2 linked regions of the Arabidopsis thaliana genome follow. The protein of the gene in region 2 interacts with the protein of the main gene of each other region in a pairwise test. Each region holds a gene or a part of one and is shown on either strand. Other genes may lie near its edges. The genes, in order: MYB73 and AT2G17670.

What was found.
Region 1: the proteins of AT2G17670 (region 2) and MYB73 interact in binary tests that used the Arabidopsis thaliana proteins (3 or more experiments, as listed by UniProt).

What each region holds. Positions count from the first base shown.
Region 1 is NC_003075.7:17,538,578-17,542,500, reverse strand, and holds MYB73 (myb domain protein 73), read right to left. Parts: upstream 2,012-3,923; 5' UTR 1,900-2,011; coding exon 937-1,899; 3' UTR 702-936; downstream 1-701. Other genes in the region: HMA1 (heavy metal atpase 1), read left to right, coding at 1-91, 175-261, 350-514. UniProt on the Arabidopsis thaliana protein: Transcription factor that functions in salt stress response. Acts as a negative regulator of NHX7/SOS1 and CBL4/SOS3 induction in response to salt stress. In response to auxin, activates the transcription of the auxin-responsive gene IAA19.
Region 2 is NC_003071.7:7,672,322-7,676,945, forward strand, and holds AT2G17670 (Tetratricopeptide repeat (TPR)-like superfamily protein), read left to right. Parts: upstream 1-1,997; 5' UTR 1,998-2,098; coding exon 2,099-3,490; 3' UTR 3,491-3,955; downstream 3,956-4,624. Other genes in the region: AT2G17650 (AMP-dependent synthetase and ligase family protein), read left to right, coding at 1-615; AT2G17660 (RPM1-interacting protein 4 (RIN4) family protein), read left to right, coding at 1,038-1,247.

The sequences.
Region 1 (3,923 bases), on a different chromosome or scaffold from region 2:
TGCGATTGCCGTTGCTGACATCTTACTGCTTCGAGACAACATCACCGGTGTTCCGTTCTGTGTCGCTAAATCCCGCCAGACAACATCATTGGTAGATAAAACATAAAAGTCTTTGTTCTTAACCAGTTTCAGATGTTAGATTGCCTGATTTAACAAGAATGTATCATGTTGCAGGTCAAGCAAAACGTAGCTCTTGCATTAACATCGATATTCTTGGCCGCTCTTCCTTCAGTTTTAGGGTTTGTCCCATTGTGGTTGACGGTACGTAAGCTAATACCCACTACAAGCTTTTGTTATCCATCATTTACCCGAGAGACAAAACCGCTAACCTGCATTTTTGTGATCATAGGTACTTCTACATGAAGGCGGGACTCTTCTGGTGTGTCTAAACTCAGTACGTGGTCTAAACGATCCATCATGGTCGTGGAAACAAGACATAGTTCATCTAATCAACAAGTTACGCTCACAAGAACCAACCAGTAGCAGCAGCAACAGTTTAAGCTCTGCACATTAGGGGGTAACTTGCTGTTCTTTGTCTAATTCTGCAAAAGCAAGACACTGTGAATTGTATGATCGCTTATGAAACATCAAAATCGTATATATGTTTCGTTTCGACTGGTTTCTTCAGGTCATATATTATGTCACGTGAGATTATATTTACTACTTTTAGTTTATGTTTGTTTCCTCGTAACAAACCCATAGAATAAAAGTTTGAGAAGTGTTTTTGACTTTTCTTCTTCAAGTTTGTGTAAATTGTTAATAAATGATCTTGCTTTGCTTTTAATTGAATCACGAAAGAAGATCATATGATGATGATAACAAAACATTTTTTGATTTCGCTTCCTCCTTTCGTCGTCTCTACTACTGGCTCTATACATGAAAAGCCTGAAACTTTTATTTTCCCGAGAAACAGAGGGAAAACTTGTTCTTATCACTCTACTCCATCTTCCCAATTCCGATTTGGTTCACTATAAACTCTCTAAACCCAACACGACGGCTGTTTACACTTTGTGGCATACACGAACCGCCACCTCCGCCGCCAGAACTACTACCACCGACGTTTCCTCGCTGTAAATCCGCCATGTAACTCCTCACCTCCGTCCTTATCATCTCCTGAACCACCGTCATGAACTCACCACCGAATCCACCAGATATCCCCTTCGCTTCTTCTTCTTCTACTTCCACTTGCTCTTCCTTTCTAACCGGAAACAGCTCCGCCGTATAACCACCGTCCATAACCGTATTCTGGTTAAGTTGAACCGGCTCGTTGACTCGAACCGTCTCGTCAGTCCAAGGAAGAGACAAACTAAGATAAGTTGGAGGATCTTCACCAGACGATGACGCTGTAACCTCAGATCTAACCGTTGGTTTAAACACGTGTGCACCACCACTAGATTGCTCGCTGACGTCAGATCCCGATGGACTTCCGGGACTCATATACAAGCCAGTCGAGACACCACCACCACCACTCGCCGTACGTTTCAACGGTTGCTCTTCTCCTAAATTACCATCATACCCTCCATTACCACCAAAATCACAACTTTGCCCTTCGACGCTGCATTTTCGCTTCAGCGTCGAGTTCCAATGATTCTTGATAGCGTTATCGGTTCGTCCATTGAGAAGACGAGAGATCGTAGCCCACTTGTTACCAAACCGAGCGTGAGCTCGAATAATCGTCTCGTCTTCTTCCTGCGAAAAAGCACGGTGCTCTACCTCCGGAGATAGCTGGTTACACCACCGGAGACGACAAGATTTGCCGGAACGTCCAGGGATTGATTTGCTAATCAAAGACCAGTTCCTCGGACCATGTTTCTGAACAAGCCTCTGCAACAGATCATCTTCTTCTGGACTCCATGGACCTTTAATCCTCTCCATATTCTTACGGGTCGGGTTTGACATCGCCGGATCTTTTTATCGGATTGTTCTTTTTTTTTCTTCTAACGCGTCCTCTTTTTTTTTGGTCGTTACAGTTTTTTTTTTTGTGTGTGTTGGGAAGAAAAGCTTTTTGGTTGAAGAGGATAAGAGCAAGAAGAGAGAGTATTTATACGAGAAAGGAGTGGGCAAAAGGGTCACCGGTTCAACCGGTAATTTTTTCTTATCGATTTAACAGAAACGATATTAAACTAGTTAAACTTTACAGTGTAATATTATCCTTAACTGCATAAAAATATCTAACGTATTATTAAAAACAAATTTTATAGAAGGAAACAAATAAAACCGTTTTCTCTATTAATAAAGAGATTTGCTCAGTGTTAAACGGATAACTATGGTAGTTCAAACAATAAAAAATAAAAACTGATAATTATGGTCGTTACTCGTTAAACAATTTTGACTCATTCAGTCAAAAAAATATTGGTGAATTTAATTAATTTAAACGTATGATTAACCATTGTTTATATGTTCATAATTATGTGTCCATAAATGGGCTACGTACAAACCTCGTTAACGTTTGGGTATAAAAAAATTGACAACATTTACGTGTTTGTATGATTGGAACAGATATTTATTTTAAACCAAAAATAAAACACGTTGGCGATTGGAAAAGGCGTTTTGGGAGATAAGCGTTTGTGTGAGGTTAACATCGAGCGTGGAGAGCAGAGAATCTTCCAGGAAAAACGGTTGGGGACTTGGGATACAGCTGTATATTAACACGTGTCAAGTAAGTATATGTACTTTGAGTTTGAGATTTGCTTTTTTTTTTTCAATTGTTCTTTCTTTTTTTTGAGAGATTTGTTTTCTTTTGAAGAGAGAGTACGCTCGTACACAGGAGCGTTTCTTCCACTCTCTGTTTTACAGGTGGAGCGTTTTTACCCAATCATTTCATTTTCCATCTAAAGTGACACTCACAAAAAAAAATCGTTAACTTCTACGTTTTATTCTCTCTATATTTATATCCTTTTTAAAATCATTCTCTTTTTGAATATTTGTTAACTTTTTCGTATGTTTTTTGAAGTTTTATTTTGTAAAATTTTGATACTATTGTAGAAGAAAATGAAATCAAGAATGGCAATGTATATCAAAAAAAATATTAAAGGCAAAATTTTGTAAAAACTAAGAATCTGCTGGAAACATACATATTGCTTTTAAAAATAGTAAGTGCAACAAAAAGACTACATAGAAGTCAATAAAAAATAGCCGAAAGTTTTTGTGTTATGAACTAAAGTTTTTTGATAAGTTATTTTCAATATTTTACACTGTTTGTTACATGTCATTGTCTTCTGTGTGTTGATTGATACGTGTGGTTATTATATAAACGAACGATTGGTCCAATATCCAAATTTTGGTTAAGATGTAAATTGTGTCGGTGAAAATAATGTAGACATTGTAGTCGTTGACAGCGAGTTCTAGGCTTCTAGCTTACATGCAACAAGTGAATGTAATAGTTTTGCAATGTTTGGTCATTGAATTTCTAACAAATATGTACGTGTAAGATACTAGATTAAATATGAATGTTGCAAGTAATAGATCGTTTATATTTGTCAAGTGATAAATTGTCGTATAGAAGAACAACTAAACCGAAGAATTACTAATCCGGTTCAACTTAGTTAACCAGAAATTGAAAGGGTAAACGCCGGTGAAGCGCGTGTAGGATGATGATATATATACAGTGAAGCAAACTTTTCAGGATATATATGTAACTTTTATTTATGTTCTTTGTAAAACAAAAGTGTGTGTAATTGGCAGAAAGAGAGAACAAAACCTAACAAACTGAAATACAACAAATATCTAGATATTCATAAATATCTAAAACCAAGTTCCACTTCATGCAACTTTGCATATATACACACGAAGTTCATAGATTAATTACACAAAATAATGAAAATGAATAACTTAAATACCCTCCAAATTTTGTTTTCATATAGTTTATAAAAAAACTAAACCCTAATGCTCAAAACAATTTATATCTTATGCATTAAAATTAG
Region 2 (4,624 bases):
TGGAAACCTGAATGGGATTCACTTTCGTTGGAGGAGAGAACTAAGTTGAAGGCTAGACAAGGAGTGCAGCATTTGGGTCTAGAAGGGCTCGATGTGAAAGATCCGCTGACAATGGAGACTGTCCCTGATGATGGTTTAACCATGGGTGAGGTTATGTTCAGAGGAAACACTGTGATGAGTGGATATTTCAAGGACATAGAGGCAACACGAAAAGCTTTCGAGGGAGATTGGTTCCACAGTGGTGATCTCGCTGTTAAGTATCCAGACGGGTACATAGAGATAAAAGACCGGTTAAAAGATGTGATCATCTCAGGAGGAGAAAACATAAGCTCAGTGGAGGTTGAGAGAGTTTTGTGCAGCCATCAAGCGGTTCTTGAAGCTGCTGTTGTAGCACGTCCAGATCATCACTGGGGACAGACTCCTTGCGGTTTTGTAAAGCTGAAAGAAGGATTTGATACCATCAAACCCGAGGAGATTATCGGGTTCTGTCGAGATCATTTGCCGCATTACATGGCTCCAAAGACTATAGTTTTCGGGGACATACCTAAAACCTCGACGGGGAAAGTACAAAAGTATCTTCTGAGGAAGAAAGCTGATGAAATGGGTAGCTTGTAATCGCCATGTAAGAAACAAAAAAGCTTAGTCTCTGGTTCATGTGTGTATGTAAGGAAACAAAGATCAGAGAATCATAAAACCACCGCGTGAAAATGAAGAAACAGATCAGCCATGGATATGATTTGGCTATAATTAGATTTGTTACGCGGAAGGCCAACGATTTTGTTATTTTTGTGCCTCAGAAAGATTTTAAGACATTAAAAAAAGAAAGAAGTAGCCAAAAGAATATTCCGCCGTGTCTGAAACGAGTCCATTTCGTAGGAAGATTTCAAAGCACAATCTTACTTATCTGTTTTCTCTCTTCTCTCCATTATAAATAAATCTGCATCCTGTGTTAGAATCTTTAAACAAAACCATCTGACTTATCAACAACAACAAGAGGACGAAGAAGAAGAAGAAGATTGTTACTTTCTTGATCGATAATGGCGTCGAATGAAGCTGGAAGGGCATTGCCGAAATTCGGGGAATGGGATGTGAATGATCCAGCGACGGCGGATGGATTCACGGTGATATTCAGCAAAGCCGGTGAAGATAAAAAGACGGGACGGAGTTCGACGAAGACGAATTCACAGAGGAAACAAGATGGTGATAAACCAGCGGTCAAGAAATGGCTCTGTTTCACTTTTGCTTAATCTTTTTTTTTTGTTTGTTGAGTAAGTTTTAATCCTAAGAGAATGTAGCTTTGAGCCTTATGAGCCCTTTGACAACTTTTGTGTTAGAACATTTCATTTCGTTTTTAGTTATCTAATAAAACAAATTCTGAGGTTTTGTTTCTTAATGATAAATCTCTGCATTTGGTCATTTGGAAATCAACAAAATTGTAGTTGTTGATTAAAGAATTGCAAAAGTCATACAAAAAAGGTCTCTTAGATATTGAGGTGAACACAAACTCTTGAACATGTTCAAAATTCATACAAAATGTGTTCTTCCTTACAAAACCTTTCTTTAATCTCTATTGATTTGGTCTGTAGAACAATGTTCTTGTATGGGGTTTATTGAGAAAACACAGAAGATCTTTCGGTTCTTTAGAGAACATTTTGCGGAAAGATTGTTGTTTTTAGGGCTTTGCCCACAAACTTGTACAGAAAGCAAAGAAAATACTGTGTTGAGGCCTTGAGGGAGAGAGGCTATCGCACAAACTGACTTTGGGCTACCATTCAAAAGCCCAATAGGCCCAATGTATTTCTACGGTTTTTCCTATTCGCTAACGTAAGCAACAGACTACCATGCGCCGTCCTCTGTCCATTTTCAACACAACAGACAAAATGCATCTTCACCCACACTTTGGGCCGATATTAACAAGCCCAATAGGCCCAATGTCTTGCCACGGTTTCTCTCATTTGCTAACGTAAGCAACTAGAGTACACGAGTGTAACTACTATACGCCGTCCTCTGTCCATTTTCAACACAACAGAGTCACAAAAACCTCTGCAAGAACCCTAAAGCTAAAACCTTTTTGCGATCAATCGAAAGAAAACAAAAAATGGGGAAAGTTCCGTCGTCGTTTCGTAGTATGCCGGCGAACTTATTGGTCAGAAAAACAACACCATCTCCTCCAGCGCCGCCGCGAGATTTTCGCAACAGAACCGCCGTGGGAGGAGATTCAGCCAAACTTCCCCAGAATACTCAAGCCCCTCGCGAGCCCTCCTTGAGGAATCCATTCAAGTCACCAAATCTCTCAGACGCTAAAAGCCTCTTCAATTCAATCGCCGCCACTTCACGAATCCCACTCGATCTCAAGTTCCACAACTCTGTTCTTCAATCATACGGTTCAATCGCCGTCGTCAACGATACGGTGAAACTCTTTCAGCATATTTTGAAATCGCAGCCTAATTTCAGGCCGGGACGTTCAACGTTCCTTATCTTGCTTTCACATGCTTGTAGAGCTCCTGATTCGTCGATTTCGAATGTTCATAGAGTTCTTAATCTCATGGTTAATAATGGTTTAGAGCCTGATCAAGTAACTACCGATATCGCGGTGAGGTCTCTTTGCGAAACGGGTCGGGTTGATGAAGCTAAGGATTTGATGAAGGAGCTCACTGAGAAACACTCTCCTCCGGATACATATACTTATAACTTTCTACTGAAGCATTTGTGCAAATGCAAAGATCTTCATGTTGTTTATGAGTTTGTTGATGAGATGAGAGATGATTTCGATGTTAAGCCGGATCTTGTTAGCTTCACTATCTTGATTGATAATGTTTGTAACTCTAAGAACTTGAGGGAGGCAATGTATCTAGTTAGTAAGTTAGGTAATGCTGGGTTTAAGCCGGATTGTTTCCTCTATAACACGATTATGAAAGGTTTTTGCACACTGAGTAAAGGGAGTGAGGCGGTTGGTGTGTATAAGAAAATGAAGGAAGAAGGTGTTGAGCCAGATCAGATTACCTACAATACTTTGATATTTGGACTGTCGAAAGCTGGTAGAGTTGAGGAAGCTAGGATGTATTTGAAAACTATGGTTGATGCGGGGTATGAGCCGGATACTGCTACTTACACATCACTGATGAATGGAATGTGTAGAAAAGGTGAGTCTTTAGGTGCGTTGAGTTTGTTAGAAGAAATGGAAGCAAGAGGGTGTGCTCCAAATGATTGTACTTATAATACTTTGCTTCATGGATTGTGTAAAGCAAGGTTGATGGATAAAGGGATGGAGTTATATGAAATGATGAAATCAAGTGGTGTAAAGCTTGAGAGTAATGGTTATGCTACACTTGTGAGGTCTCTGGTTAAAAGTGGCAAGGTCGCAGAGGCTTATGAAGTGTTTGATTATGCAGTTGATAGCAAGAGTTTGTCAGATGCTTCTGCGTACTCTACACTTGAAACTACCTTGAAATGGTTGAAAAAAGCTAAAGAACAAGGCTTGGTTCCATAAATGGTATCCTCTAGCTGAGCTTTACCGACTTTCTTCTTTATGCAAGTCCATATTTCATTTTTGAAGTAGTGTTACTCCAAAAGCAATGAATTTGTTTCGAAATATGCTGTTCGATTCTTAAGGGACCAGCAGTGATTTATAATAGTAACTTTGTTGGTAATATTATTGTCACTTGAGATTTCTAAAGGTTTCCTTAACACTCGAGTTATTGATTGGGTGAAAGTTGTTGCTGTGTTTCTATATGAACAGTCATATTCTATTATTCTGTTTGTATCAGCTTCTTGCCTTCAGTGTCATGTACTCTGTTCTTATGAGCTATTGTGAATACCATAATTGGTTATTGATCTTGCCTTGGGTTGTTGCTTGAGAGATCAAGCAAATAATATTTGCTTTGACAATTGCAATATCTGTTTGGGGTAAATGAGGCAGAGTATCTGAGTAAAGATTGTTTCTTGTGAACAATTTTGGTTATTGATCTTGCCTGGGATTGTTGCTTGAGAGATCAAGCAAATCATATTTGCTTTGACAATTACGCTATATGTTTGGGGTATTAAATCAGGCAGAGTATCTGAATAAAGAGATCGTTTCTCTTGTTTGGCTGCAAGAAGAGACTATTATCTTCTTGAACAATCTTTTCTTATATGCTCTGTTTTAACACTAAGCAGCCCAAGTGCAGAGTATTTGTGAATTATCAGTTGAATTACAAAGTACAAACCAAATCATTGAGGGGGACAAGAAAACAGAGGACAACGTTAATGGAATCATGAAGAAGATTTATAAGTGGTCAACATTCTGGTATTAGTCTATTTCATTGTTTATGACCAAATTCTAATCATTTGGTGAATAAACTCTTTTGTTTATTTTGATTTCTCTTCTGTCATGTTTCATTATCTAGTGTATTTTGCTGCAACATCTGTTTCTTTGTCTCCCCCATTAAACAATAGAACGCTACGGAAATAGATACATATTAGGAAGAAATGTACGTACCGCGAGGTCCACGAATACATGATTCGCCTACCATCATTGTGTAATCTATCGATTATCATAGCCTCCAGCTTTTTCTTTTAGTATAAGTTACTCCTAGCTGTCATGTTCTTATATATATCTTGCATATCTATGACTATGTACTCTAGA